Elephas maximus indicus: one gene and its partners. The protein of the gene in region 4 purifies or fractionates together with the protein of the main gene of each other region. This does not show direct contact. Links are inferred from orthologs where the notes say so. Each region holds a gene or a part of one and is shown on either strand. Other genes may lie near its edges.

Region 1 (7,259 bases), on a different chromosome or scaffold from region 4:
TAGGAAGGTGAGGACTGGATCCATTTCTAAGCTTTGGGAATTGAATTCATGCTGGCCCTTACTAAGCAGTTAGCAGTGAAGGTGGGATGTACCCACTGTGCCCCTTGCTTAGTGCACCAAACATAAACAAAGTAACTGAGTTCAAAAAGCAAGAGTTAACACAAAGATAAATTTGAATCATCGTCTATGCTTAATAATGGTAACATTTGCCTCAGGGCCGCCAAAAGTTATCCTTAAAGGCAAATATTGTCTGGAACATGACTTTAAAATGCCTTTGACTTTTGTAGTCTGCTTCTTAAAAGGGAAAGACATTATAAAGCTACCATGGCTTTTAGTTTGCCAAAATCAAGGAAAAACTAATCATTTTTTCCTTAGTACTCTGTCCTATGGGGTCACTACGAGTCGGAATGGACTCAACGGCAATGGGTTTTTGGTTTTAGTACCCAAGTGCCCACCCAAAGCTAGAATTACAGCCTATGAGATGTGGAGATGAAATTCAGGCTTGGTCATTAGTGGCAATAAGACCTCAGTCAGAAATTGCTGGCCCTCTATAGCCAAGATCCCTCTCCTATAAAAATAAGTAGCTACTCCACAGCACCTAACCACTCATCTTGGGTTTCTTCAGCAATCCTGCCCGTAAAAACCACAGAACTGGCTTCCGTTCTCAGGAAAACTTGGTCAAGAGAATTATAAGCGACAAGAAATGCTCGACTCTACTGGCATTGCCATGGGAAGCTGTCCTATGTAGTGCTGGACATTTAGTAGCATTCCTGGCTATCCCCGGGTGGTACAAACAGTTAAGTGCTCAGCTACTAACTGAAAGATTGGCGGTTCAAATCTACCCAGAAGAAAAACCTGGCGACCTACTTCTGTAGCATCAGCCATTGAAAACATTATGGAATACAGATCTACTCTGACACACAAGGGGTCACCCTGGGTCAGAGTAAACTTGATAGCAACTAGTTTTTTTTTTTTTTTTTCTTCTTCTGGCCCCTACCCACTAGATGCCAGTAGAGTATCCACCCCCAGTGGTGACACTCAAAAATGTATCCAGACATTGCAAAATGTCCCCAGGGGCAGTAGCACCCCTGGTTGAGAACTACTGGACTAGGGGACGGTTGCTAGAAAAATTAGGGATCTTGCCAAACTCCTGATCTGGGAGCCACAGCGGAAGGACTGGCACTGCCTTTTTGCCCAACCAGTTGCTATGGAGTCAACCCCTGTTCATAGCGACCCCATGTGTGTCAGAGTATAACTGTCTCCACAGAGCTCTCAACGGCTGGTGTTTTGGAAGCAGACCACCAGGACTTTCTTCTGAGGAACCTCTAGGTGGACTCAAACCATCAGCCTTTCTGCCTAGGTCAGCATGAAGCAGCCTGCAGTGGCGCTCTGGAGGCCCGGGCCCCTTCTCAGCTCTGCTCTTGCTGAGTAGAATGCAGGTTACCCAGCAACCACGCACACTCAAGCTTTTGACACCCCCATCTACGGCTCCTGGGTAAGAAGCTGCATCTGTCGCTGCCAAGGCACACTCAAGAGGCCTCTGGGCATCACCTAGAGTTTTGCAATCACTCAAGCATATCCTGTGGCCCCCTGCAGAGAGTCTCACCCACCCCCTTCTTTGTTCCAATGCCACTGGTTCCTTGGCTGAGCATCAAACACGCCGAGCACACTTCTGCCCGTGCTTCTCCACCAACAGCTCCCTGGGCCAGACAGTCTCATGCCCCCTCTCCACATATCACCTCTCCACAAATGTCTCTAGCCTTCCCATGGACTGTCCTCCCCCAGATGAATAGTTTCGCCTACTGAGATCTGCCCCTCGCCTATCAGCTGCTGGGTAGATTTTTGTCCACATTCTCAGTGCCTATGTGACACCAATAGATTTCCAAGTGATGGAAATGAGTAAACAATCGACTATTAGCCAAAAGGCTGGCTGCTCAAGTCCACCCAGAGGCACATCAGAAGAAAGTCCTGGCGATCTGTTTCTGAAAAATTAGCCATTAAAAACCCCATGAAGCAGTTCTACTCTGTACACGTGAATGAGGTCACCACGTGTCAGGGTACACTCAACAACTGTTTTTTGTTCTTTGGAACAACCTGAGTGGCCCAAACGGTTAAGCCCTTCTCTAACTAACCAAAAATGTTGGTGGTTCAAACCTACCCAGAGGCGCCTTGAAAGAAAGGCCTGGTAATCTGCTTCTGAAAGGTCACACATCCACTGAAAAGCCTATGGAGCAATTCTATTGAAACACATGGGGTCGCCATAAGTCGGCATCTACTCGAAAGCAACGAGTATTAAGCACAAACACAGCAAATTTAACAGATGCTGAATATATCGTTGTGGCAGCCAACCCTTCCTCCCCCACAAGGCTTTGGCCCGGCCCGAGGGCTCCGTCCCAGCTCAAACCTTTCAGGTATTCATTTTTTCCTCCAGGGCCTGGCACCTCTCCCAGCCCCTAAACACGCAATGGGGGGTGGGGGGGCGGTGCGCTGAGGCATTTTGCGGGGATACAACGCGGAGGAGAGCCCGACAATGGCGACAGCGGACGGGACTGCTCACTGGTTTTAAGGCCCGAGGCCTGAGAAGCGGCGACCTAAGGCGCCGAGGCGGCTGGGGCTGGTGGGAGAGGAACCTCAGGAGCCGAGGACCGGGGGCCCCCGGACATGACTGCAGGAGCCGTGGCCTCAGGCGGCCAGTGCCCGGGACGCGAGGCTGGGAGCACAGAGAACCAAGGGGCCGAGGCGTACCGGGCGCGACCTGAGGCGACGGACTCGCGGCGCCATTTTGTGGCCGCAGAACGGACAGTGACCTGGCCGGGGAAGCACGGGAGAACCCGGCGTGGCCCCGCCACATTCCCCTGCCGCTCCCATCTGGGGCCCGGCGCCGCCCCGCAGGGATGTACCTGTGTAGCTCATGGCGCCGGCGAACACTACGCCCGGCTCCTCGACAGCTGCTCCGCGAGCCCGACGCCGCGATAGTGGCCACAGTCCCCCGAGCCCCTTTTACCCACAGCCGAGCCCCGCCTCCGGACCGCATTGGTGTGCGCCTGCTTCGGACTTCACATCTATTGGAGAATCGCCCTGTCTATCTCGGAGTGTCGTCCTGCCAGGGGCTGAAGATGAGGCCAATCCAGAGAGCCCCGCCCTACTCCCGCCCCTCCGTCGTTCTACCCCTGCGGTGATTGGTCTAGATGGGGTGGCAGGGGTAGAGGTAGGTTCCTGTGGGGCTCGACGGGGGCGAAGCTGTTGGCTACGGAAAGGCCGAAGGCCCAAGCTTGGCCGAGCAGGACGCGCGATTGTGCCCTAGAGGCCCGCCAGAGGGAGCCGGGGTTCCCGTGCAGGAACAGCTCAGGTCCCTTGCTCTGCCACCCATTAAAAAAAAAAAAAAAACCGTTGCCAGTGAGTCAATTATGACTCATAGCGACCGTATATGATGTGCAAACCTGGGTATCTGAACTTCAGCTCAGGAATGAACATGGTGAAGCCGTGCAGGAATGGGAAAAATTACGACTAAGCGCCAGCCACGGCGCTGGATCCACGATCAAACGTTAAATGTGATCATGTATAAAGAAATCAGTTCACGTTGTACAACATGATTAATGTAATTGATGTCACTAAATCGTACACTTGAAAAACGGCAATAAAATCAGTACAAGGCCTGGTGCATCAAATGTTGCATTTTGTAATTAATCTTTACTTATTTGTATAGTTACACAGTATATATAGAGTCCCTGGGGGGCACAAACAGCGCTTAAGCTCCACTACTGATCTAAAGGGGCCCTGGTGGGGCAATGGTTAAGAACCCGGCTGCTAACCAAAAAGTGGGTAGTTCGAATTCAGACCCACCAGCTGCTCCTAGGAAGCCATATGGGGCAGTTCTACTCTGTCCTATAGGGTCGCTCTGAGTTGGAATCGACTCCAAGGCAATGAGCTTGGTTTGTTTTGGTTTACTAGCCGAAAGATTGATTGTTCAAACTCACCCAGAGGCACCTCAGAAGACAGGACTGGCGATCTGCTTCTGAAAGGTCACGGCCTTGGAAATTCTATGGAGTAGTTCTACTCCGCACACGTGGGGTCGCCATACACACATGGGGTCACCACGAGTCGGAATCGGCTCAAGGGCAACTACAACCACTATAACATAGTACACATGCATATTATATGTAATAAACATTAATTGTATTGTTCATCATCTCATCTACTCCCTCCAAACCCTCCAGGAGCTATTTTTATTCCCCATTTAAAAGATAAGAAAACTGGATCTTAGAATTCATGCCTTGCTCAAGGCCCTTGATACTTGACTGTTAAAGGTGGAACTTTGCCTCTAAAGCCCTCATGGTTCACTCTGGACTTTAGTGATTCTGCAATAGTGCAGCCAGGTGCCTGCCTTGTCCTCAACACTCTCTCTGAAAGTGTTGAAACCACTGCCAGGGACATCTAATAATTTCTAAGAGTCAATTTGACAGACAAGAAGGCAAACACGTAGTGTGTGTGTGTGTGTTTGTGAAAATGCATCCAGCTGTAGAGTTAGGACCTGTATGCTTTTTGCTGTGCTTCACTTAAAACGTTTTTTTTTTTTTTTTTTTAAAGTGTCCTGTTGCCGACCTACTTTTTGAAGTTAAGGATTGTCATCAATTTTTTAGGTGTAATAAAAAATCAGTTACTGTCATCTCTGACTCACGGCAGCCCCATGTGTGTCAGAGTATAAATGTGCTCCACAGTGTTTCCAATGGCTGACTTTTCAGAAGGCTTTTCTTCTGAGGAACCCGCTGGGTGGCCTTGAACATTCAACCTTTCTGTTAGCAGCTGAGTTTGCTCGCTGTCTGCACCACCCAGGGACTTTTAACTGTAATAATGGCATTGTTTTGGAATCCATATACCTTAAAGAAACATACTGAAACACTCACATTAGCAAATTAATTGATCTGGTGGTCAGGATGTGCTCCACCATAATTCAGGGGGGAAAGGAGGGGACAGAGAAGGGGAACAGGGTTGGGGAGGGAGGGGATATAGCTGAAGAGATTGGTCATGAGTTGAAAATCGATGAGTAGATGCAGATTTATTTTACTGTTCTCGCTACTTTTGTATGACTGGAATTCTCCATGATAAAATCTTTTTAAAAAAGCAACTCCCCATACACCAATGTTCATCGCAGCACTTTTCACAACAGCCAAAAGGTGGAAACAACCCAAATGTCCATCGACAGTTAAATGGATTAACACAATGCGGTGTACACACACAATGGAATATTACTCAGCCATACAGAAGTCCTGATGCACGCCACAACATAGATGATGAGCCTTGAAAACATCATGCTAAATCAGTTGCAAAAGGAAAAATACTGTGTGATCTCACTTACATAAAAAATATATAGAAACCGAAGATTATTATTGGTTACCAGGGGAAGGGACAAAGGGAGAATTTTTGCTTAGGGGACATTGGGTTTATGTTCATGGTGGTGGAGTGATTTGGAAAAGCATAGCAAGAACACTGGCACAACTTGCAGAATGCAATCAGTATAACACGTAGAAATGGTCGAGATGGCATGTTTTGTAATATTTTGACAAAAAAAAAAAATCCTCCCCTCAAATTGGGGCTTAGGCAGACAGGACTTGCGGCCATGTGGGGCAAGGTTTTGATGCGTTAAGTGAGAAACCACAGAAGCAGCACACAACACTCTGACTGACGTGTACTCCAGCTTTGGGGTTCCCCTCCGTGTCACCCCTAAGGGATGCTTACCTGGTCTCCAAAACTAAGGCTTAGAGCACCTCTCCTGGGTCCTAGAGCGTCACTCACAGCACTGGCTGCCCCGGCCCTCATTTCACCCCATCTGTTATTGATTTAACACCCACGGCCCTCATAGACCATTGAGAGAGAGAATAGTATTGCTTAAGCAGAGAAGGGATGTGTTCAGAAATGTTTTAGGAAAAGATCCCTCTATGGCAAGGACTGTATTCAGCTCTTTCGAATAAAAAAATCCAGTAGAGTCAGGCAGGACACAAACAGGTAACACTGCAGTCAGCCATCTCCAGGGGATTGGTGGATCAATGGTAGACTCCTCACCTTCCACGCAGGAGACCCGGGTTGGATTCCTGACCAATGCACCTCATACGCAGCCACCAAGCATCCATCAGTGGAGGCTTGCGTGTTGCTATGATACTGAACAGATTTCAGCAGAGCTTCCTAAGACAGACTAGGAATAAAGGCCTGGCAATCAACTTTAGGAAATCAGCCATTGAAAACCCTGTGGATCACCATGATCCAAACTGCAACCCATCATGGAAGTGCTGCAGGACCAGGCAGTGCTTCATTTCTTTGTGCATGGGGTTCCCAGGAGTCATGGGTGACTTGAAGGTAGCCAACAACAGACATCTCCAATAGCTGACTGTAGGAGGGATTGTTGTTGGTTGATGTGGAGTCAATTCTGACTCACGGTGAGTCCAAATGTTACAGAGAACTGCTCCATAGGGTTTTCTTGGCTGTAATCTTAGTGGTAACAGATCTCCAGGCATTTCTTCCGTGGCACTGATTGGTGGGTTTGAACCAACCTTTAGGTTTCGAGTTCAGCACAAACCATCGGCAACATCCAGGGACTTAGCGACAGTGGTGAGGTTAAAAACAGCATGTGATCAACAAGGAGCAGCTAACGAGGTCTCTTGAAATCTCAGAAATGTTCAACAAACATCTGCAGCACAAGCATGTAAATAACATCGCAAGGGAGTCAGTGCTCCCCTTTCTTTCCCTCATGTCACCAGGGCTCAGGATGCATGTATCTTCAGAGAAGTCACCTGTCTCCAGGTCAGGTCCTTCCTGCTGGCCCCCCATGGAATGCTTCTGGCTGCTTCCTGCTCCTCCCTCCCTCCATAGGCCCCCACTCCCTTGCTGGACAGCTCCTGCCCTTAGAAAGCCCTCCCAGCCTCAGTTGCTTCCCAGCCCTGGCTCCCTGCACAGACCAGCCTCCTGGAGCCCTGGGTAGCATCTCCTCTGCTCACATGAGTCACCCCCCAGCCAGCCAGAGACTCCCACTACCCAGGGTGTTGAGGGCTGCCAGCTGGGCAACTCGGCTCGTCCCCAACTGGGCCTGGTTGGCTTGGTGGTCAGTAGGAAGCCCAGGCCAATCCCAGCCCTGGCTGGCAGCCAAAGCCAGCCTGTCCACCCAAGAGAAACACGCACGCTGGCTGCCTGCCCCGGTGTGTTTCCAGAAGAGAAATTTAATCTAATTTACAGACTTCTAGGTACATCGATAACCAAAAGGTTGCCAC
Region 2 (7,205 bases), on a different chromosome or scaffold from region 4:
ACCCTCTGTTAAAATATTGGTAAACTTTGAAAACTGTGAAACTCACACCCATGGGGGAAAACCTGGGATTAGTGTAAGAATCTAGAGAAGTGACGGCCTGTTGCCTAGGGAGGAAGAGGCACCTCAGAGTATGCAAGCCTTTCCTCAAGTCATTCCCAGTAACTGGGAGATAGTCTCCCAGCGAGACACCCGTGTCCTGCCCTTGGCATTTAAGCTGGCGTCTGCTTTGCCCAGATAAACCGCCCACAGCTAGCCTTGTGCATCCAGCTTTGCACTTCCAGGAGGGTGCTCCACACATCTTGTGCGGGAGGGCTGGATAAGTATAGAGGCGTGAGGGAATGAGCCGGGGGACGAAACACACACGTACGGTACTCCTGGGCGGCATTCGAGCCCAGCCCCAAGACCAAGTCAGAACCCAACATCTGATAGCGACCCTTCACACCAAGATCCTGGAGGCCCTGCCAGACCCGCTCCCAAAAGAGAAAGAGCCAACACGTTAAAAATAAAGTCTTTTTATTGTGTGTTCACAAAAAACCAAGTCAGGCTGCCTTCCGCTAATCCCTCACCCTGAAGGTTATGCTGAACAGGAGGCATGCATGGTGACAACGACAGTATTCTCTGAAGGAGCAGGGTTGTGCCTGCCCAGAGCCCTAAAGGCAGAGAGAAGCAGGCTCTGGGGGAAGGCCTGCTGCCTCCCTGGCAGGATGAGGCAGGGGTCAAAGCACTGATCTGGGCCAGGCCCAGCCCAGCTGGAACACACAGGTTAGCCCCACCCCCCGCCCCCAGCAGAACACTATGGCAGTGGAGCCAGAACTTCTGAGAAGGGCTGGCTCAGAGGCCAGGCCCTCAGGGATCCACCTAGAAGGGGTTGCCATCCTCTGCCTGCATCGAATAGTAAACGAAGACTAGGAAGGCAGCAAAGACCACGAACAGGAGCAACTGGCCCCAGAGAGGGACCTGGCGGTCCTGACTCAGACTGGCTCCCGGGACCTGCTTTTCTGGCCGGATGGCACGGCGGGCGAGCCACGAAGGTGGAGAATATGAAGATGAGGAGGTGGAGGAGGTGGAGGAGGTGGTAGGATAATAGGGTTGGCCCAGGGTACCCCTGGAGATGCTCGAGATGGGGCGGTAGTACGCGATGCTCTGGTAGGCACTGTCCCTGGCATACGAGGGACATTCCCTGAGGCAAAAGAGGGAGCAGGCAGGTAGGCCAGGAGAGCTGGTGACCAGAACCAGCCCTTATCCCTGGCCATCTGTCAGTATAGGCCACGCTCAACGACTTACCTATCCTTGCCCTCCTCTTCGGAAGTGAAAAGATTGTCTTCACGCATCTAAAGAAGAGAGGGGGAGGAGACTGGCTGGCAAGGCTGGCAGGACCCCGTCACCCAAGTCCAAATTCCCCCAGCCAGCCCACTCTGTCCCTCCAGACCCTTCCTAGACTCCTGGCCTTTTGTCCAAGGGGCCTTGCCACTTGCTCAGTGACTGTCCTGGCTGTCTAAGCCCTAGTACCCTCCTTCCTCCCCCAGGACTCTCAGAGTTCCAACCTAGATCCCAGGCCAGGGTGCACCATGGGCTAAAGTGTGCTCCAGTTTCGGGATCCCCTTGCCCAAAGTAGGGCACTGTGTAGCCTACTTCTCCCCGGAGGCCTGTGAGCCCCTGGGAACCTGCAAGGAGCCACCACTTCCACCCAGGAGTCCCAACTGGTTGATCGAAACCCAGATCTGGTCACCTCAGTTTCTACCTGCATCAAAGGTGCCTGGGGTACCTAATGGCCAGCTCACCTGACGGCGAAAACTTTCAGCATCTGAGAGCGAAGCCATGGGCTCCCGAAAGTTCTTGGATGTGCCCACTGACTCAGGCTCCCCATAAGTCCTGGTGTGCAAGTAGCTCTCCTCATAGTAGTCATCATTAGAGCCTTGGGGAGAGGGGTGCAGTGGTGGCAGAGCTGGCATTGCATCTGTCTCCCCCTAACCTGCTCCCATTTCGTGTCTATGACAACCGTATCTCCTCCCCTCTAGGGCTGGTGAGGGGCGGTGGGGGTCGAAGTCTCAGGTTCTCCCCGAAACCAGGCTCTATGACAGAGAAGTTAGGTGGCGGCCCGCCCCTCCTCTACCTGTCTTACCCTTGCTCTGGTATAGTAAGGCATCCTCTTTCTTGGGCAGATCGTACTTATCCGAGTCCTCAGATGTTGAATCCAAATCTGTGCGATCGAGAGAGGGAAACGGGACCGTTTGCCCTTGGACTTCCTCTCCCTTCTGCCAGGTGCCTCCCGCTTGGTGCCCCTGCCACACCCTCGCGACCCCGTCCGCCCTGGTCTCCGGTGGTGGACCGGAGGGGCCCTCACCCGAGAACCCATAGGAGAACGAGGAGGCGGACGAGTTCGGGGGCGAAAGTCTCCGCCTCTGGGTCTCGTACTCGAAGATCTTCTTCTCATAGAGCTTGCGAGTGGAGCCTGGCCAAACACAGAGCGCGTGGCGGCGGATCAGGGCCGCGGGGCCGCGGAAGGTGGCCGCCCGCCCGGCCGCCCGCCCGGCCGCCCGCCCGCGCCGCTGCTCCGCGTACCCACGACGGGTCCGTGCGGGATGTTGTACTGGCGTAGCATGGCGACCAGCTCCGCGTCCGACAGAACCGCGTAGTCGTCCATGGCGCTGCCGGCACGGAGCCCGAGCAGCGGCGAAGGCCTGAGGGCAGGCCGGCCCGGCGACGCTGAGCAAAGGCTGCCTCGGGGCGCGGCGGGGGAGGAGGCTGCGAGGGCGCCTGAGCAGCGGCCGCGCGATCACGTCACGGCCGCGGGCACCGCCGGCGCCGAGAATGCGCGCGCGGCGGGAGAACAGGCCGCCAGAGCGCAGCCGGCGCAGACCGGTCTGGACGTGGAGCTAGGCGGCGCGGGGCTGGGCTGGTGAACCAAGACGTCACAAACGCGCGCGATTGGGCCAGAGGCAGGAGGGGGCGGGGCCCGCACGCCAGTCAAAGCGGCAGAACCGGGCGGGACTTGGTTGCGGAGCGGGGCGGGGCTGGTGAACAATAACGCCAAAAAGGAGCGGGATAGGGCTAGAGGTGGCAGAGGGGCGGGACCTGAGAGTCTGCCGAAGCAGCTCAGACACGTCTGGAAGTGGGAACGGGGAAGGGCTGCGCGCCCCGGAAAGGGGCGGGGCTAGCGAGCAAGGAAGTCGGACGCCGGCGTGTTCGGGCTACGGCATAGGGAGGGGCGGGGCCTAGTGAGCGAGCCTAACCGGCGGAAATCCTCCGGGCGGTGCGAGCCGGGCGGCGCTGGCGAACGACGACGTTATATGCTGGCGTATTCGGTGTCGGTCTAGACGTGACAGAAGGGCGGAGCCTGTACACAAGCCACCCAGCTGAAAAGCCCCCAGGGCCTATAGCGGGGCGGCTGAGCGCCCGGAGAGGGGCGGGGCTGGTGAACAAACACGTTACGCGCTGCCTTGCTCTGACTAGATGTAGAGGGGCGGGCCCTGCGGGCAAGCCGAACCGGCAGAAACCGGCCGAGATGTGGGGGCGGGGCGGGGCGGGGCCGGGGCGTCCGGGAAGAGGTGCACCCCCCGAGTCACGTGGGGCCGAGACGCCTGGATCCCCCGCCCGGATCCCTGCACCCCTTCCCGGTTTCAGGGCCTGGGTGCTCAGTAAGGGCCAGGCTCTCTTCAAGCCCTCTGCGTGGAGAACACGAGGGAGTCACGGCTGGTCGGCGGCCCAGCCCACAGGCCAGCCACCTCCCAGGCCCCTGTCCCCGCTGGCCTGGCGAGTCTGCCGGCCCCTGGCCTCTGCACCTGTGCTGCCCGCTGCCCACCACCCTCTCCCTGCCTTCCCGCCCGCCTGAGGAGGAAATGGGGCACTGGACCAGGAGGGCAGCGGCAGGCGCTCCAGGAATTCCCAGCCAGCCTTGTAAGGGGCCAGGAGTGCCAATGAGCGCTGGCAAAGGACAAGGCGTGATGCGAGTGGGGACAGTGAGCCAGCCCACCGCACCACACCACCCACCTGGGGGACCAGACGGGGAGGAGGGGGAGGTTTGCTCTCCTGGTGGAATGACCCCTGAGCTGAGTGCCCCCCAGGAGGGATGGGGGTAGCCTTCCAGAACCAGAGGGGCCTGCTGGGGGAGGGGAGCCTCAAAGAAGACTTGGCAGGCTGTGAGCACTGGGGTGTGAGCGGCTTTGGGTACTGTGGCACTGCTGTTGTTGTTGTTAGGTGCCGTCGAGTCGGTTCCGACCCATAGCGACCCTATTCACAACAGAACAAAACACTGCCTGGTCCTGCACCATCCTTAAAATCGTTGTTATGCTTGAGCTCATTGTTGCAGCCACTGTGTCAATCCACCTCGTTGAGGGTCTTCCTCTTTTCCGCTGACCCTGTACATTGCCAAGCATGATGTCTTTCTCCAGGGACTCATCCCTCCTGACATGTCCAAAGTATGTAAGACGCAGTCTCACCATCCTTGCCTCTGAGGACCATTTAGGCTGCACTTCTTCCAAGACAGATTTGTTCGTTCTTTTGGCAGTCCATGGTATATTCGATATTCTTCGCCAACACCACAATTCAAAGGCGTCAACTCTTCTTCAGTCTTCCTTATTCACTGTCCAGCTTTCACATGCAGGCACTGCAGGAGTGGCCAAAGGAGACAGAGGCCAGGGCAAACATGGGGGCTGAGCGGAGCAAACCAGGGCAGGCAGTGGATGTAAGGTGGAGTATGGCTAGGAGGAGGCAAGGCTTTGGTAGGAAAAGTGCTGTCTCTTGGAGAGCAGGAAAGAGGTGGTAGTCATGCTCAGACAAAGCCAGTCTCATGGAGTGTGGGGCTGCCTGGTGGGCTCTCCCTGGAGTGGATGAGAGGAGCTAGCCCCAAGTCTCATGTGGGGGGGAGAAGAAAAGAGAGGGGGCTCTGGTCAGCTGGTGCGGGCCGCAGACCAGCTCTCCAGGGAGGTTTGCTCAGGGTGGGGAAGAGGTATACACGTGGGGAGTGGCCAGAGGAGAGACCATGGTTTGACCAAAGACAAAGACCCTTCCGAAGAGTTGCTGTTGCCCAAGTTTTAGAATCAAGGTGGGGCCCTGCTCTGTCTCAACTGTGACAAGTAGCATTGGAGTCCCTGAAGACACTACATTGCCCTATACAGAGGGGAGAGCCATGGGCTGGGCAGGGGAGGAGGTGGCCGTTTGGGCTGTGAGCTGGGCAAAGGCAGCCTCGTGGAATCTTGAGTTTTGGCAAGATCAGATCCCAGCCCCTCTCAGCCTTTCTGCAATGCTGGCCCCTCTCCCAGAGATGCTGGTTCTGGCTTCCCTTACAGCCTGCTCAGTCTTCCCCCGTGCCACCCCTCCCCATACTGATGCAAGCTGTTTCCTTATGAGGTCAAGGAATTCTAGGTTTGCCTTCTCCCCAGGGAACACCACCCCCTTGCACCTGCCTCAGCACTCTGCCTCCTATGTCCCCCCCCCTTTTGTCCTCACTATGAGGTCCCGCCACAGAGGGCACCAGGAAGCTGAACTGTGGATGGTCACCCATGGCCGTGCAGCTCCATCCCAGACCACCAGACACTAGGTCAGGCCTTGACCATCCGAGCTAGGATGCCCTCTGCACCTCCATCACATAGAGTGGGGTCCGGAACCTCGAGTCCAATAGTTCATTCATGAAACATTTCTTCAGCCAGCATCTGGTGCTCCACGGCCCAGCCTCAGAGCTCTCAAGGAGGGAAAACTGTTCCCAGGAGCTGGTCCTGGGAAGGACAGGCAAAGGAGACACTGGAACTGAGCCTTGAAAAAGACAAATTTCTCTGGTGGACAATTGGAAAAGGGATTGCAGACAGAGGTCACAAAAAGCAGCCAGTGCAGCGGGGGTAATGGGCTGTGGAAGCCGCGATTCTAAGGCAAGAATAAGAAAAATGAGTCTCTCCTTTAAGGATGGAGAATGGCTTCTAAACAGTGGATTGTACAACTTGGAATCCCAGCAAGATCAGAAGTTAAAATGGAGAAAAATATATCACCATAAATACATTTCTCAGCATCCATGTACAAGCAAACCATTGATCACTGAGCTACTAAGTTTCTCTTTAAGATAAGGATTTTTTTTTAGTGCTAAAAGACACTTTTCTCTTCAAGGGTATTAAAGCTCCTTTGGGTTTTAACTAGTTTTCAAATGTTTTGAAACATTGCTCCAATGGTTACAAAAGTTGCGAGACAATTGATATGTTGAACACTGTCACAACCAATATTAAAACACTGGTTAGTTGACTAAAGGTCTCTCAAGGAAAGTGTTGTGTTCCAACCTTGGAACAGGTCAGTTTATCTTGGTACTGTTGGGATGACTGGTGGGAGGAATGCAGCTGACTTTGGTAGTTTCCCTGTATCTTCAACCGAAGGACACCTGGTGCTGTACAAACATTTATTCCGCCCAGACCTGAAAGAAGAGACAGAGCTGCTGCATGTGTTTTGTGTGTGTGGTGGGGGAGAGGGGCAGTAGTTGATTTCACACGGAGGTGGCAGTCCCGAACACTGCTAAGAAACCACTGCCTCCTTAGTGCTCCCTCCACCTATTGTACCCCTGGCTTGGAGCGCAGCTGCAGAAAGGCATGTGGTTTCCCTCCTTGATGAACCACGGACCGCCTTGGCTGTGAGCCCCAGCACAGCCCCCTCCTCGGTCTGTGAGTTCCCATCTCCAAGTCCAGGTCCCTCACCTATCATGTGAAGATAACCCACTGCCCTCCCCAGCTGGGGGCGCTCCCACCAGAGGGGGCAGGAGGAGAGGGAACCCCTGGCACTGTTAGAAAGCACCCAGTAAGGGTCAAGGTGTGAAAGGTCTTTGAAAGCAGAGCTAGCCAAGACAGCAAGACCAGTAGGGCCATCAGTGCCTCTTTATCAGTGCTTCCCAAACTGTAAATCAGCAACTTAATTCAGCAGGTGGTGCCTGAACTATTTCGTTCCTTACACCCTCCCTCCCTGTTGTCCGTTTCTTCCCCTCTTCCTGCCATCCTTTTTTCCTTCTATCCTCCCTTCCTTCTTTCCTTCTATCCTTCCTTTCCTCCTTCCCCATTTTCTCCCTTCCTTCCTATCTTTCCCCTTTCCTTCCTCCCCTCCTTCCTTCCTCACTTCTTTCCCTCCTTCCCCCTTCCTCCCTTTTTTCTTTCCGACCTTCCTCCTTCCTTCCCCATTTCTCCCTTCCTTCCTTCCTCCCTCCCTTCTTTTCTCCCTTCCTCCCTTCCTTTCTCCTT
Region 3 (7,655 bases), on a different chromosome or scaffold from region 4:
AACTCACTTGACGGCAATGGGTTTGGTTTTTTGGTTTTGTATCTATACATCCTAATTAAACTATTTTGTGACAAGACAGCTGAATACATAAAAGTGCAACATTTAAAGCAGAAAAAAGGCTTTGGGTGACTGATATTATTACTCAGGCTTCATTAGCAACCCAGTACAAACTTTACATTTTTCAGGCTACGAAGTGAAAAACCTTTCTGATAGGAAAAATGTTCTAGAAATTCAGGGACCAAAATCCTTTCGGATGATGAAATATAATACATAATTAATTACTATGGGAAGACTGCAAAATGAAGGGACAAGAGCTTTGGTTTCTAGTCGTAATTTTGCTGTGTGTGTGCAACATGCATGATGTCCTTGAAAATTTGGTGTCATTTTAGCTCAACCTCTCTTCAGTGCCAAATGTCTAAAAATAATTTTAAGCTCCTCGGTGAAAAGACCTATCTACTACGATCACTCCAGCTGGAAGTAATCTCTAACTATCCCTCTAAACTTTTAAAAAACTTGTTTGTACCACTCCATAACAATGACCCCAACCAAACCCACTGCCATTTAGTTGATTCCGATTCATAGCAACCCGATAGGACAGAGTAGAACTGCCCCATAGAGTTTCCCAGGCTGTGATCTTTATGGAAGCGCACTGCCACATTTTTCTTCCAAGGAATGGCTGGTGGGTTCACTCTGCCGACCTATTGGTTAGCACCCCAGCACTTTAATCACTGCACCACGAGGGCTTCTTATAATGATTATAGGCTGCTTTAAGTAGTCTCCTTTGCTCCCTTATAGTTCTACATTTTTGGAAAGCAGAGATCTCAGCTAAGGTAAATTAATATCCCTCTGCAGCCCTGGTGGTGAAGTGGTTAAGAGCAAGGCTGCTAACCAAAAGGTCAGCAGTTCGAATCCACCAACTACTCCTTGGAAACCCTATGGGGCAGTTCTACTTGTCCTATGGGGTCACTAAGAGCTGGAATCAACTCGACAGCAACAGGTTTTTAACAGGACAGTCCCTAATACAGTGTCTTACACTTTTTAGAGACCAATATATTTTACTGGATTGACTGAACAGTACTTGGCAGCAATGTGGTTCCTGCCTGCCTCTGCTCCCCACCCCCAATTCCTCTCACCGGATCTGGCTACCAGCCAGCAATAGGCAAAAGTGTTATTTCAGCTGTTTAGACTCTAAAACAAAAACTACAGCATCAACAACAACCATATTTAAGAGTTCACACAGAGAGGATCTAGGAAGCATCTTCAATTCTGTCCAACACCCCTGGCACACCCACGTTACAGGAAATCTGTGTTAATGCCAACGTACTGATCTCCTAAAGTAGTGCAATGTATATAGAGTGCCATCAGTAGTTCTCTTGAAACACCCTTGGATGAACGGAGGCAAACGATGATTACCCTCAGAGTGATAAGGAGTTGGTTTCAAAGCTATTTAGTACCATCCATTCAGGCATTCGCAATACCTCTTCGTGACCTCATGCTTCTCCCCATCTCAGAGCCCCAGCTGTGATTCTCAGAAGAACCCTATTAGAGATCCCTGAATCCGTAAAACCTGAGATTGTTGTCACGTGCCTTCAAATCAATTTCGACTCATATCGACCCCACATGACAGAGCAGAACTGCCCCTACAGGGTTCTAGGCTGTAATTTTTATGAGAGCAGATAGCCAGGTCCTTCTCCAGAAGAGCCGCTGGGTGGATTCAAACCTTTCAGTTCGCAGCCTAGCGATTAATTCGATAGGCCTGGGCAAACTCATCCTCTCCAGACACCAATACAATTCAAGGGTTGTCTGTGGACCCGCACTTGGTCTATATAGCATAAATTCTTCAGCAATGGTTATCGTCCAGTAGTTGATTAACAAAATCAGGTCAAACATGCATTTGTTTTGTGTCAAGTATGGCAAAGAATAATTTACCAGAGATTTCAAGGTCCTCCAGCTACAAGCTGAATGAACTATTAGAACAAAAACAAATTAGGACCGACCTTTACTGTTTCTCGTTGATTTTGGGGTCCATGTTAGGAAATGAAGGCAATTCAATTCACAAAGACACTATTCTCCGACTTTAGACACACAGCATTCAGACCAAAGGCTCAAAGTTTTAGCAGGAGATCCAGGGTGCTTTCGCCTTGATGCAAATCACTTTAACCATGCCCGCTGTAGAGAATTAAGTTTACTTCTGAACACAACCTGCCAAAAGTCAGAGCTAGGGTCTGGGGTTAAAAGCCACAAAAACAAAGTAAAAGGTTTTTTACCCAAATACAGTTTTAAAACAATTTTCTATTGCATGTTTTCTCTGCAGCCAAAACGTGAAAACTCAAAACGTTCGGCTTTTCTTTGAAATGATAGAGAAATTTCTTGGCATATCACATAGCGTCTTCATTCGTTCTTTTTTCTCTCGTTTCTACACCCTTAAAGTCGGCAATCACGACTTTCTTGGCAGATGCACCCTCCTCTGGAGATGTGGGCTTGGGGAGGGGCTGGCGGACGCAAGCAGGCCCCTGAGCGGGAGGTGCAGGGAGCTGTGTAGACTCACAGCACCCGAATGCCCTCCGACCTTCCCGAGGCAGACAAGAGTGACGCTCTAGTCCGAGGGACTCGGGGAGTGGCGGGGCCCAGGGGCGGAGGTCGAGGCCAGCCAGGCATAAAACGGCCCTGCCGGACGCAAAGCCGGGAGCCGACGCTGGACAGGACCCGGCCCTCTGCCCAGAGCGCGCGGGAAGGCGAGGGCGGCCTCCAAACTGGGCTGCTCGCCCAGGGCCCGGCGCCCCTACGCTACCAGAAACACAAGCCCCGAAACGGGGACGCCCCGGCCCGCCAGGAGCGAGGCCCGGAGACACAAGGAAAGCTAAAACGGCCGCGGAGGCGGCGCAGGGGCTGAGCTCACCGTTCTCACCGCTCCCCGGCTCCCGCCGCCCCGCTGCAGTGGCCGCAGTTCACCCGCCGGCTCGGCTCACGCGCGCAAGCACAGCCCGACCGGAAGTGACTCCACGCCCCGCCCCCATCCGCCTCGCCGGCGGCCTCCCGGCTAATCAACAACAGACTCGCCGCTGACGCAGAGCTTCTCCGGGCAGCCATTGGTCGCACAATCGCGTAGCCGGGATTGGCTGGGAAGCGCCACGTCCCCGGGAGCGCGCCGGGCTGCGTGGACGGGATTCCCGCCCAACTCTGGTCCCGGGGCCTGTAGGGTGGCAGGGCCTATCCGCTGCTCCGGTGGCGTGTGGGCGCGGTCGTCCAGCCGCCACGTCCCCACTGACAGCGCCTGACTGGGCCTCCACGGGGCTTCTCGGATTACCGTCTCGTTATCTGCCTGCTCGAAGCACTCAAGGCGCTAGTCGTCCGATCGCATCAGCCCCCAACCGTCTCGAAGATCCCAGTTTCTCTTTTTCCAGCACTACTGGTTCTAGTCTCTTTCCGCTTTATCCCTACCGCTCTCCCTCTCATATCTCGCGCTCTGGCCACCATCATCTCGCGTTCCGTAACAGCCTGCTCGGTCATGTGTCGCTGGTCTTTATCCATCAAGCCGCTTCCTTCGCTTAAATAAGTGCGTTTTCCCGGTTCTCTGCCTTAAGAAATCCAGCAGCATACAACGTGTTCGGATGGTAGCTTCAGAAAGCTTTCCTGATCCACTTTAAAACAAAACAAACAAAACCGTGCCCATGGAGCTGATTTTGACTCATAGAACCCGGTCGGACAGAGTAGAACTGCCTCACAGGGTTTCCAAGGCCCTTTGTAGCGGCTGATGGGTTAGAACCCCCGACCTTTTAGCTAGTAGCTGATGCTTTAACTACAGGTATCCTTTCTTGACACCCAAGGGATAATAGAGTGGGTTTGGTTTTGGGGGGTTTTATTTGCCGCCATACCACTTTGTATTTCTATCTTCAGTTAAAAAACAAAAAAAAACCCATTGCTATCCAGTGGATCCTGACTCATAGCGACCCTACAGGACAGAGTAGAACTGGGGGGGTTCCAGAGAGAAGCTGGACGAACTGCGTGCCACCAGGGCTCCTATTTTCAGTGCACCTTGCCAAATTTTGTTATAAACACTGCTTATACATTCGTCTCCCTCTAGACTAAGTTCCGGAATGGAGATCTACTTTATTCGTCTTTGTATCCATGGCTCTGAGCTTACTGCCCAGTTCAAGGTAAATGCTCAATAATGTCAAGTGAACTGAGTGGGTGGAACCCAGAAGGTTGCATGCCCCTAATTAAAGAGAAACACTGGAAATTATTCACTTATTCGTTCATTTTCATTTCATGAAATGAAAACAAATAGTTATAATGAGGTAATATTCACAACACAAATGAAATATAAATCTGTGTTCTTAGCACATAAAGCACAGAGTTTAAATTTCAGTTGAGGAGACAAGTTGTATGCTTATGAAAGAATTAAATACAAAGCAAGTTAGTTCACGTAAAAAAAAAAAAGTTTACTTTTGAGTGCCAAGATGAGAGGTTGACAACTAATGCTACAGGAATTCATACAAAGGAGTGACTGTAAACCTCAGTGGTAGCCAGACAGGGCTTGGGGCTTCATAAGAAGATGTGACTCAGGCTGGACTAAGAAAATCCCAAATGGAATGTGCAGAAAGAGGAATAATAGGAACAAGGGCAAGCAGGGGGCAGGTGGTAAGTAAATTCTCAGGTGGGATAGGGCATGAGGGAGGTGAGAGAAAGGGTCTGGGAAGGGAAAGCACAGGAGGTAGGTCTCCATAGGGAATGGACAATCACTCTAAGGAGCCTGAACTGAAGGCAGGGGGAATCCTGGATCTTCCTCTGAAGGTTTCTAAGCTCGTGTCTATGTGGGAGGTGGGATGAGATTGAAAGTGGTTCTTTCAGGCAGGCACATCTCCTAATAGGGATTAACTGTAGGAACAGGCTGTTTCAGGAAGTATTATTTCAACAAATGTCTTCTTGAAGTCAGGCGCTGTGCTAGGTGTTGTTGAACTCACAATGAAGAGGACGTGGTCTCTGCCCTCAAGGAACTGCAGCCTAGTGGGAGGGCCACTCATCCTGGAAGGATCCTGATAGAGGCTGGATGAGGAAATAGGATTTTGTCAGAGATGGGGCCCTCCAACCCTGAGATTCTGTGTGGATAAGGGCCTGACTCCGGCAGGGCAAGGGACGTGCAAATAAACAGTTGTATGCAAGATGATTTTTAAAAGTGAAAATAAGTCCTGGACTTAGTGACTGCTTGGATGAAGAAATGAAGAGAGAGCACTCGAAAACTAAAAGTTTTAATCCTGGGATACTGGGAGAATGAGCCGGATGATTGGAAGATGAGGGAAATGATGAGTTAAGACTAGGGTGATGGCAGAGCATCTACAGAGAAAGAGCCAATAGGCTGGAGGGTATTCTGGAACTTAGGAGGGGGGTCATTGGTCAGGGGGCAGCTGATGGAACCCTGAGATCAGATGAGCATTCTGAGAAGAGAAAATCAGATTAGGCTTCATAGGAGCCCCAGAGTTAGAAGGCAGGCGGAGGGGGAACAGGACTTGAGGGGTGACACACATAAGAAATACCACCATTGGGCTGCACCCAAGGCTTACCTGGCCCTGGCTTCTGTCTCTGAGGGAAGCACGAAGGGACTGTTGGTGGCAGGTATGACGGTGGCAGTCTCAAAAGGCTGATGTTCTTCTTCAAGTGTCCCAACTCTGCTCATATGGTGCTACTGAACATTCACGCCACAAATGAGTGCGTTGCGCATTTCCTATGTGCCAGAAATTTCTAGGCACTGAGGATACAGCAGTGAACAAAATGGATAAAACTGTCTCGTGGTGCTTGTATTCTGGTTGTAGGGATAGCAGAGACAGCCAATAAAGAAGATAAAACATTAAAATATATTGCTGAGTGGAATAAACCAGTCTGAAAAAGGTACGTATTGTATGATTTCAACTGTATGACATTTTGGAAAAGGCAAAACTGTAGCGTGAAAAGATCAATGGTTTCCAAACAATAGTCTAATTTAACTAATGAAAAATGTCTATCGTGAGCATTATCCTCTTTCAAGATCTATCTGTATGGAATCAAAGTGACAACAGCAACTTGAAAGATCAGATAGGAATCTTAGGGAGCAGTGAGTTTACGTTAATGAGGGAGGAACAACTCAGAAAGGGAGGGTGAAAGGTTGTACAGCTCGAAGATTGTCACTGAATTTTATATGTAGAAACAGTTGAATTGGTGTATGTTTTGCTTACTATGTTCTTAACAAAAAAAAAAAAAAACAATGTTTTCCAGGGGCTTGTGGTGGGGAGGGATGAACAGGTGGAGCATAGGGGATTTTTAGGGCAGTGAGACAATTCTCATAGTCTCATTCGATTCCGACTCATAGCGACCCTATGAGTCAGAGTCGACTCGACGGCACTGGGTTTGGGAGACAATTCTGCATGTTACTGTGACAGCGAGTATTACGCCTTTGTGAAAACTCATAGAACCACACAACACAAAATAAACCCTAATGTAAGCTACAAACTTTAGTTAATGATAATGTATCCCTATCTATTCATCAGTTGTAACAAATGTACCGCAGGAATGCAGGATGTTAAGAGGAGAAGCTCTGCAGGAGGAGGGGATATTTGGGAACACTTATCCTTTCTGTATAATTTTTCTCTAAATCTAAAACTGCTCTAAACATAAAGTCTATTATAAAAAAGCAAAATATATAGAATGAGAAGTGGTTATAGGTGCAAAGGGGTGAAATAAGGCAAGGAAAGAGAGCAGGGAGTGTCGGGAATTCAACAGCGGTGTTGACATTTTGAGAAAGAGTGGCCGGGGAAGGCTCATGAAGAAGGCGACACGTGCATGAACATCTGAAGATGGTGAATAACATTTCAGGAAAAGGGAACAGGAAGGGCAAAGGCCTGAGCTGGGCGCCTGCTTGGGGTGCTTGAGGAACAGCAGGAAGCCAGGTGGCTGGAGTGCAGTAACGGAGAAGAGTAGAGGACATGAGGTCAGGGAGGTAGTATCAGGGGAAGATACTGGTATCAGTGGAGTGCCTTTAGGCCATTTTAAGAATTTTGGATTTTACTATGAGTGAGATGGTATGAGGGAGACTTACCTTTTTCTTCTTCCTCCGGGACACACAGCTAGACTACATTTCCCAGCCTCCCTTGCAGTTAGGTGTGGCCATGTGACTGAGCTCTGGCCAAAGGAAGGAGGGCAGAACAAATACTGCTTCCAGCCTTGGCCATATGAGATGCCACACACAATTTTCCAAGCTCTTTCCTTTTTTGTGGCAACCTGGAAGCCATGTATTTTAGTTATCTAGTGCTGCTATAACAGAAATATTGCAAGTGGATGGTTTTAACAAACAGAAGTTTATTCTCTCACAGTTTAGGAGGTTAGAAGTCCAAATTCAGGGCGCCAGCTCTAGGGGAAGGCTCTCTCTCTGTCAGTTCTGGGGGAAGGTCCTTGTTATCAATCTTTCCCTGGTCTAGGAGCAGTGGTTAACACCTTGGCTGCAAACCAAAAAGTTGGCAGTTCAAATCCACTAGCCCCTCGTTGGAAACCCTATGGGGCAGTTCTATTCTGTCCTTTAGGGTCGCTGTGAGTGGGAATCAACTCAGTGGCAATGGGTTTGGTTTTTTGTTTTATTTTAAGCAAGGTATGGGGGGAGCCCTGGTAGCACAGTGGTTAAAGCACTC
Region 4 (7,463 bases):
CACTCTGTTTTACTTCTTAATTCTTTTTTTCTTTGTTCATTCAACACTGTTTCTTGGACATCTTTCCTTATCAGTATATAGAGAGGGTCTTAGAGTTGCAGGATGTTCACATGTTTAGATTGTAAGCAGTGCAACAGAAAACAAAAAACAAAAATTCTACATACGTCATCACAATTACACAATGTATCTGTAGGATAAATTCCCAGAAAAAGAATTGCTGGAATTTTGATATTACCAAACTGATTTTCAATTTATATGCTTATAAGTAATTCATGAGAGAATCCAGGTCTTAATTTTTAACTGGTTTCCAAGATAACTGCACTTGGCTTTCCTGCATATGAGCCCACATATTTTGGTTGCCTCTCAGCAGGTCTCCGCTCCCACCATTACATTGCTGCCCTTTTATGGCTTGGGGGGGATTGGCCCTGGGCCAGACAGCTCCACTTCACCATTCTCTCCCTGCTGTCTCTCCCAGGGAGGCAACGCCTAACCTGACAGAACTGCTGGCCTGTTTCTCAAACATATGATGCTACATCACACCTCTGAGCTTTTGCCCATACTGTTCCCACCTCCTGTTCTCCCTTCTCAGTCTGGAAAATTCTGATGTGCTCCTTAAGACTCAGCTTAAATGTTGCCTCTGTGGAGGCTTCCGTGTCCCTCCCTGGCGGAGCCAGTCCCTCCCTCCCACAGAACCCCTGACAGCCCTCTACTAAGGCACATCGGTATCACCTGGCAGGGTAACTACTGTTTGTTTACATGGCTCCATCTTGCCCAGCACCAGCCCAGGCTAGGCCCACACCTCAAACTCATCTGTGACTAAAATTAAACTGACCCGAGAGGCAGGGTGGCATGGAAATGCCAGGCGTGGGAGTCAGGCTGGATTGGACTTCCTCCTCTCCTGGTCCCCTGCCTCCCTCACCTCTTCCCTGCTGCCTGTGTTCTGACCATGATGGCCTGCACATTCCCACTTCGTGACCTTTGCAGGAGCTGTTCCAACCACCTGGAAGGCTCTTCCTTTAGCTCTTTCTCATCTTCCAGTTCTCAGCTTAACTATCACGCATCAGAGAGGCCTTCCTTGACCCCTTCCCATTCTATTACTCTCAAGTTATTCCCTTCATCGATTCTCTGCAATCCTGATTATAATGCTGACTTATTGGTTTACTTGTTTGCTACTTGTCTTCTTGGTGAGAACTTACCAAGAAGGTCAGGGACTTCAGCTTGTTCACAAGCCCAGGGCTAACACAGGGCCTGGCATATATCAGGCACAACAGAATTCTTTACGGACTGAATGAGGAATAAACAATGAGGTCCAAATCCCAGCTCTACCACTTACCAGCTATGTGTCCTCCTGAAGGTTTCCTCCTCTGAAAATCAGGCCTTTTAGGGCTGTGGTGTGTACCAGGAATTGTGTAAAATGCCTGATATATGAAGATACCCCACAAATGGTAGCTGTCACCTGTTAAAATTTTCTCTCCTTCAGTGACAAGTGTACCCTTTCTGCCAGGCTTAAAGACCTTACTCTCCATCTTTCACAATCTTTTTTTTTTTTTTTTTATTGAGGTGTAACAAATATAGAGAAAAATAGAAATATCTTAAGTGTATAACATGACCAATTTTCACCAGGACAAGAAGTAGAACATTCCAACATCCAGGGAAGTTCACATGTTCCCCTTCCCCCATCACTCTCCTGCCAGCTGTGACCCCTCACATTCCTTCCCTCCTCTGTTTATCTGAGATCTTGGGGCATCCATTCTTCTTTCAAACCATTACTGACTCCTTCCTTCCTCCCATTTCTCTTTGGAGCCCCCCACACCAGGCCAACTTCTGTCATTTACATCACTGCCTGGTCCCTGTGGTAACTTGAGTTAGCAATCCCTGTTACCAGAACACTGGGATTACTCAAGAGGAGAAGAGAGTAAGTGGCAACCTGCAGACAGCTGGGGTAAAGGTACACTCTGTAGCTTGCTGAACTGCCAGGGCTGAGAGGAATCAACACCAGGTGGGCAGGGGGCAAAGAGGAGGGAGGTAGAGAGTGAGGAGGTAGGTGGTGGGGGAGCTGGAGTCACTCTTCTCCATGACAGGGGTTGGGAGGTCCCTGAGAGCCCACTGAAGTCCGATACGATTTTATCTCTGGACAAACCTTCAAATCATGGTGGTGATAAGGGCTTCAAACCCGGGCTGGGCTAGGAGTAAGACGAAGCTATCTGTGTCTGTGTGTTAGGTGACCTGGCTTAAGCGATTGAATTTTTGTGTCTCCATTCCCTCACCTAAAAAACATAGGCCAGCTATGAGGTCTGAATGCGGCACAGGATCTTCAAGCTTTCTAAACTGTAAAGCGCTGGGCACATACCAGCTGGCGGGGGGGGGGGGGCGCGCGGGGAGGCCACTGAAGGAAGAAATGGCCTGGGGTTAGCAAGTGTAGCCTGGCTGCTCTGTCTCAAGTAATAATACGGATGATGAGGATGATATGATAAGAGATAGCTGTAACAATTACAGCTAACACTTCTAGAATGCTTACTGCCTGCCAGGCACTGTTCCAAGTGTTTTACATCTTAAACTCACTCAATCCTGACAACTCTAAGAGGTGGGTACTATCACCTTTTCTTTACAGACGAGGAAACTGAGGAACTGAGAGGTTAAAGTGACTTGCCCAAGTCACATTAGGAAGTGGCAGAGTCCAAATTTGAACCTAAGCAGTCTGGGTCCACATGAAGTCTCAACCCCCAGGCTCTGTGCTAAGTGCTCTAGTGTTTTATCTCATTTAATCCTACGAGGTGGGTATTATGGTTATATTCCCATTAAAAAAAAAAAAAATTCCTCTTCACTCTCCTGCATATGTTATGCCTTCAGACTTTTCCCTGCATTTATTTTTATGTAGGTCCATATACTCCTGTTATCATCTCATCTCGCTGCATTTTTCTTTACAGAGCACGTATTAGAACCTGAATTTATTTACACTTTGTGTGTGTCCCATCACTAGGCGACAGGTATTTTGATTATTGTTGATTTCCCAATACCCAGAACAGTGTGTGCTACACAATTTAAATAATGAATGTAGCTAATGGTACTAAGTAGCTTTGTGGCTCGTGTTGCATAAATACTGTACATACTCCAATTTTTGAAAAACTGCCTTGGAGGATTTTTTTTTAATAGGTACAGCCTTAACGCCCGCCCCCCCCAAAACAACAAAAAACTTTGCAGTCAAGTTGATTCTGACTCACTACAGAGTAGAGCTGCCCCATAGGGTTTTCAAGGGTGTAATCATTGTTTTTATTAGGTGCCGGTGGAGTCCGTTCCAACTCATAGCGACCCTATCATCTTCACAGGGGCAGATCTTCAGGACTTCTCCAGCCAAACTGCTAGTGGGTTGGAACTGCCCAGCGCCACCAAGGCTCCTTGTAAATACATAGACTTAGCTCATAGTTTTTAACAGATGGGTGACATTCCATACTGTGGATGTGGCGCTGTTTATTTAACCAGTGTTCTATTTAATTAAACCACATTTTCCCAATGTTTTTCTAACCCAAAACCAAAAAGCCAAAACCGTTGCCTAGGAGATAGGGACCTCACAGGACAGAGAACTGCCCCAAAGGGTTTCCAAGGAGCCGCTGGTGGATTCGAACTGCTGACTTTTTGGTTAGCAATAAACGTCCTTGCACATTTCTTTTTGTGCATTATGAGTACATATTTGTACGGAAGTGGAATTGCTGGAAAGGTATATACATTTAAAAATGTGAATAAACGCCCAACCAAATCCGCTGCCACGTCCAGTCCATTCCGACTCATAGCTACCCTATAGAACAAAGTAGAACGGCCCAATAAGGTTTCCAAGGAGCGGCTGGTGGATTCGAACTGCCAACCTTTGGTCAGCAGCCGAGCTCTTAACCACTGCGCCCCCAGGGTTAAAAAAAAAAAAAAAAAACAAGTTGGTAACGTCAAATTGCCGTCCGGTATGTATTCGTGCCAGCGCTGTTAGGGTACACGGCAGGTTTTTATATATCTTGGACCAAACTGGCTATTACCAGTCTTTAAATTTTTTGTCAATCTGATGGGAGGCGGGGGATGAACCCCCAATTTATAGATGAAGAGGGTCTCAGAAAGAGTGGCTTTCCCACACAACCCGTGAGTGGCAAAGTCGTAACTCGGCGTCGGAGGTGTTCGACTACGGAGAGGACGCGCCAAAGCTGGTCACTGTCCTCCGTGCTGTGCATCCTGGGGGACGTCTGGTCACGCCAGGCTGCCAGGAGCTCCCCCGGCCCTCAGACCCGGCCCTCAGACCCGGCCCCGCCTGGCCGCCGCCGCCTAGCCGATAACCCCCCCAAGCCCTCTTCGCAGCCTCCTCAGCTCCGAAATGGCGACCGCCAGGAGCGCGAGGCTACGGCCCTCCCCTAGGAGGCGGGCCCGAGTTCAGACCAGAACGACAGATGCCCGAACCAAGCTCGTAGTCGGCTGCCAGGCGGGCTCGCGCAGAAGCAGAGCCGGTGGCGCAGCAGGCCGGGAGGAGGAGCACCGAGCGCAGGGTTCGCTCGCCGGGGCCGCCCGAGAGTGTCTTCATTGCGGGCGCTGGGGCCGCCATCTTAGATGGCGGGAGTAAGACGAGAGCGAGCGTGAGGCGGGAAGGCTTCCCTGCGGTTTTCCCTGGGCCCCGCAGCGGGCCAGTTGGCGAGGCTTTGGGGTGTGTATCCTAAGGCGCAGAGCGCGAGTGGGACGATGCGGGGACTGCCCGGGGCCCCGTCCCCGGGGTTGGGGACGCGTCGAATGTGACCGCCTCCCGCTCCCTCACTCTCCGCGGGGAGGAGGAGCGGACTGGACGCCGCCGCCGGACGACGGAACGCGGGGTCGGCCTGGCTCCTTCAGGTAGGCGGCGGCGCCGGGTACTGGAAGCCGGGGGAGCGGGGCGGCGGGGCCGAGGGACCGGGTTCCCTGGCGGTTGGGCCTGGGCGGCGCTGACGGAGCGGCCCCGCGGCTGCCCGGGCGGAGGGCCTGGGCCAGGCCGCTGTCACCCCGGGTGGCGCTGGGCGGCAGGGGTGCCCGGGGCCGGGTGTCATGGCCGGCGACCCAAGTTCCCATATCCCCACTCAGATTTCCTTGTGTTTCGGGGAAACGTGCCAGCGCCACCCCTGTGCCCAGTGCACATTCCTCATATTTTGGCAGTGGGAGAATCCGCCCAGAGCTGCCCCGTATCGGTGTTGTCACCCGGATGAGCTAATTCCTTTTTCTTTTCTGGTCGCGGGGTGGGTACCCGGGCCTGCACCTTCTCTCGGGGTCCTTCACCCCAATGTCACTCTTTTAGGGAGGATGAAAGGAATTGAGAAGAAAGGATATGGGTCAGTGCCCCATCACAAAGGCATAGGGGCCTCGCCTTGGGTTTCAGGACTCTGTGGGTTCCTAATGAAAGGTTTAGGATGCTTAGGCTGAGCATGGGCCCCGGGATGCTTCGGAATGAAGATCCAGGGCTGTCTTTTGTGTGAAATAAGAGCCGCTGCCGGGACGCTTCAGCCTTGCAACTGCACAGGCTCTGCAGAGCTAGCTAGTCGGTGCCCCGAGAGAGGAGTTAGGATCCCGAGAGGCGAGGCGCTTGTGTTCGTTCGTTGTTCATTTTCCAGGGTCTGGGTGTGCCCATGGTATTCATTCTCTAGTGGGAAGAATGATGGGGTCTCATATTGTCTCCTTGAGATGTGACCGGGTTCGAGGAGGTCACTTAATCTAGGTAGGGAATGAATTCACACGTTCGCGGAGCTTTTCTGCCTGCCTAGCCCTGTGCAGGGTGAGTGGGGAGAAACGGCCCTCCGTGCGCTCCCAAGACGTGAGAACAACGCCATATGATAAGGATTGGCTTGCCGAGTGCTGTGGGAACTTAGAACACCTAGTTTTACCTAGGGGACCTAAGGAGGAGTGTACGCCAGAGGGGACTTTTGCGCCGAGTTTTGAAGGACTGATGAGTAAGTGCTCACTAGGTGAGGAGGAGGGGAAGGGCATTCCTAGCGGAGAGAACTCCTGATAGGAAAGGAGGCATGCAGGAATTGGGATGAGTTTGGGGAGCAAGCAAATAGTTTGGGGTGCAGGGAAATAGTGAGAGAAGAGAGTCCAGAAGAAAAGTTGCTAGATTGTTAAGGGTCTTTCTTTGTTTGAACACAGTGGTGAATTAGTTGGTTTAATTTGGATTCTTCTGAATAAAAAATAGGTGTTGCTAATTTTTTATTCTTACTGATACCTAATCATTTTTCTCCTCTTTTTTTTTGAACGTTTTATTGTGTTTTAGGTGAAAGTTTACATAGCAAATTAGTGTTCCATTCAACAGTTCACAAATTGTTCCGTCGCATTGGTTGCTACCCCTGCAACGTATCAGCACTTTCTCCATTTCCACTCTGCCTTCCCTGTTTGCCTCTGTCCACTTTCCCTGCCCCTCCTTGCCTTCTCAGCTTTGTTTTTTGGGCAGATGTTGCTCATATAGTTGATTGTTCTAAGGAACACGTTCCTCACAGGTGTTGCTGTTTATTTTATAGGCCAATTTATTATTGGGCTGAAAAGTGACCTCTGGGAGTGGCTTCATTTCCAGGTTAAAAGGGTGTCTTAGGGCGATAGTCAGGGGGTTCCTCCAGTCCCTGTCAGTCTAGTAAGTCTTTTTTTTTTTTTTTATGAATTTGGATTTTGTTCTACATTTTCTCCAACTCTAACCGGGTTCTCCTATTGTGTCCCTGGTCAGAGTGTTTGGTAGTGGTAACCGGCACCATCTAATTCTTCTAGTTTTAGGCTAGAGGAGACTGGTTTGTGTGGGCCATTAGTCCTGTGGACTCATTGCTTCCTTGAGTCTTTGGTTTCCTTCACCCTCCTTTGCTCCACACAGGAAGAGACCAGTAGTTGTGTCCTTAGACAGCCGCTCAAAATCCTTTAAGACCCCAGATGCTACTTACCAAACTAGGATTTAGAACATTATTTTTATGGACTATGTTATGCCAATTGATCTAGATGTCCCCTGAGACTGTGGTCCTTAGCCTCCAAACCCAGTAACTCAGTCCCATGAGGTGTTTGGGTATGTCTAAGAAGTTTCCATAACTGTGTCCCATATATGTATGCTCTATTATATATATATGAGTATATATGCAGAACATACAAATATGTATATACAAATGCCCACAACTATACCTATATATGCACTTGCATATACTCGTATACGGCCACCTGTACCTATATAGCATACATGTCTACCTATGCAACCAAAAAAAAAAAAAAAACCCAGTGCCATTGATTCGATTCCAACTCATAGCGACCCATAGGACAGAGTAGAACTGTCTCCTAGAGTTTCCGAGGAGCGCCTAGTGGATTCAAACTGCTCACCAATTCGGTTAGCAGCCGTAGCACTTAACCATTCTGCCACCAGGGTTTCCTACCTATGTAACCACTCGCAAATTTTTGGTTGTTATTACTGTTGCAGAGTTTCGTTACAGCATTTACCTGGGTAG

What was found.
Region 1: the proteins of RAF1 (region 4) and AKAP8L purify together in Homo sapiens (affinity purification with mass spectrometry; 3 studies listed by BioGRID and IntAct, with this or other methods). This does not show direct contact. The link is inferred for Elephas maximus indicus from reciprocal best matches to the Homo sapiens genes RAF1 and AKAP8L.
Region 2: the proteins of RAF1 (region 4) and EMD purify together in Homo sapiens (affinity purification with mass spectrometry; 3 studies listed by BioGRID and IntAct, with this or other methods). This does not show direct contact. The link is inferred for Elephas maximus indicus from reciprocal best matches to the Homo sapiens genes RAF1 and EMD.
Region 3: the proteins of RAF1 (region 4) and CALU purify together in Homo sapiens (affinity purification with mass spectrometry; 3 studies listed by BioGRID and IntAct, with this or other methods). This does not show direct contact. The link is inferred for Elephas maximus indicus from reciprocal best matches to the Homo sapiens genes RAF1 and CALU.

The regions. Positions count from the first base shown.
Region 1 is NC_064821.1:35,594,055-35,601,313, forward strand, and holds the start of AKAP8L (A-kinase anchor protein 8-like), read right to left. Parts: upstream 3,020-7,259; 5' UTR 2,914-3,019; coding exon 2,901-2,913; intron 1-2,900. UniProt on the Homo sapiens protein: Could play a role in constitutive transport element (CTE)-mediated gene expression by association with DHX9. Increases CTE-dependent nuclear unspliced mRNA export.
Region 2 is NC_064846.1:2,095,838-2,103,042, reverse strand, and holds EMD (emerin), read right to left. Parts: upstream 2,882-7,205; 5' UTR 2,645-2,881; coding exon 2,563-2,644; intron 2,453-2,562; coding exon 2,345-2,452; intron 2,201-2,344; coding exon 2,123-2,200; intron 1,916-2,122; coding exon 1,782-1,915; intron 1,332-1,781; coding exon 1,285-1,331; intron 1,181-1,284; coding exon 859-1,180; 3' UTR 519-858; downstream 1-518. UniProt on the Homo sapiens protein: Stabilizes and promotes the formation of a nuclear actin cortical network. Stimulates actin polymerization in vitro by binding and stabilizing the pointed end of growing filaments. Inhibits beta-catenin activity by preventing its accumulation in the nucleus.
Region 3 is NC_064826.1:21,326,238-21,333,892, forward strand, and holds the start of CALU (calumenin), read right to left. Parts: upstream 3,009-7,655; 5' UTR 2,900-3,008; intron 2,883-2,899; exon of another isoform or gene 1,998-2,882; intron 1-1,997. UniProt on the Homo sapiens protein: Involved in regulation of vitamin K-dependent carboxylation of multiple N-terminal glutamate residues. Seems to inhibit gamma-carboxylase GGCX. Binds 7 calcium ions with a low affinity.
Region 4 is NC_064838.1:37,863,423-37,870,885, reverse strand, and holds the start of RAF1 (RAF proto-oncogene serine/threonine-protein kinase), read left to right. Parts: upstream 1-4,449; 5' UTR 4,450-4,857; intron 4,858-7,463. UniProt on the Homo sapiens protein: Serine/threonine-protein kinase that acts as a regulatory link between the membrane-associated Ras GTPases and the MAPK/ERK cascade, and this critical regulatory link functions as a switch determining cell fate decisions including proliferation, differentiation, apoptosis, survival and oncogenic transformation.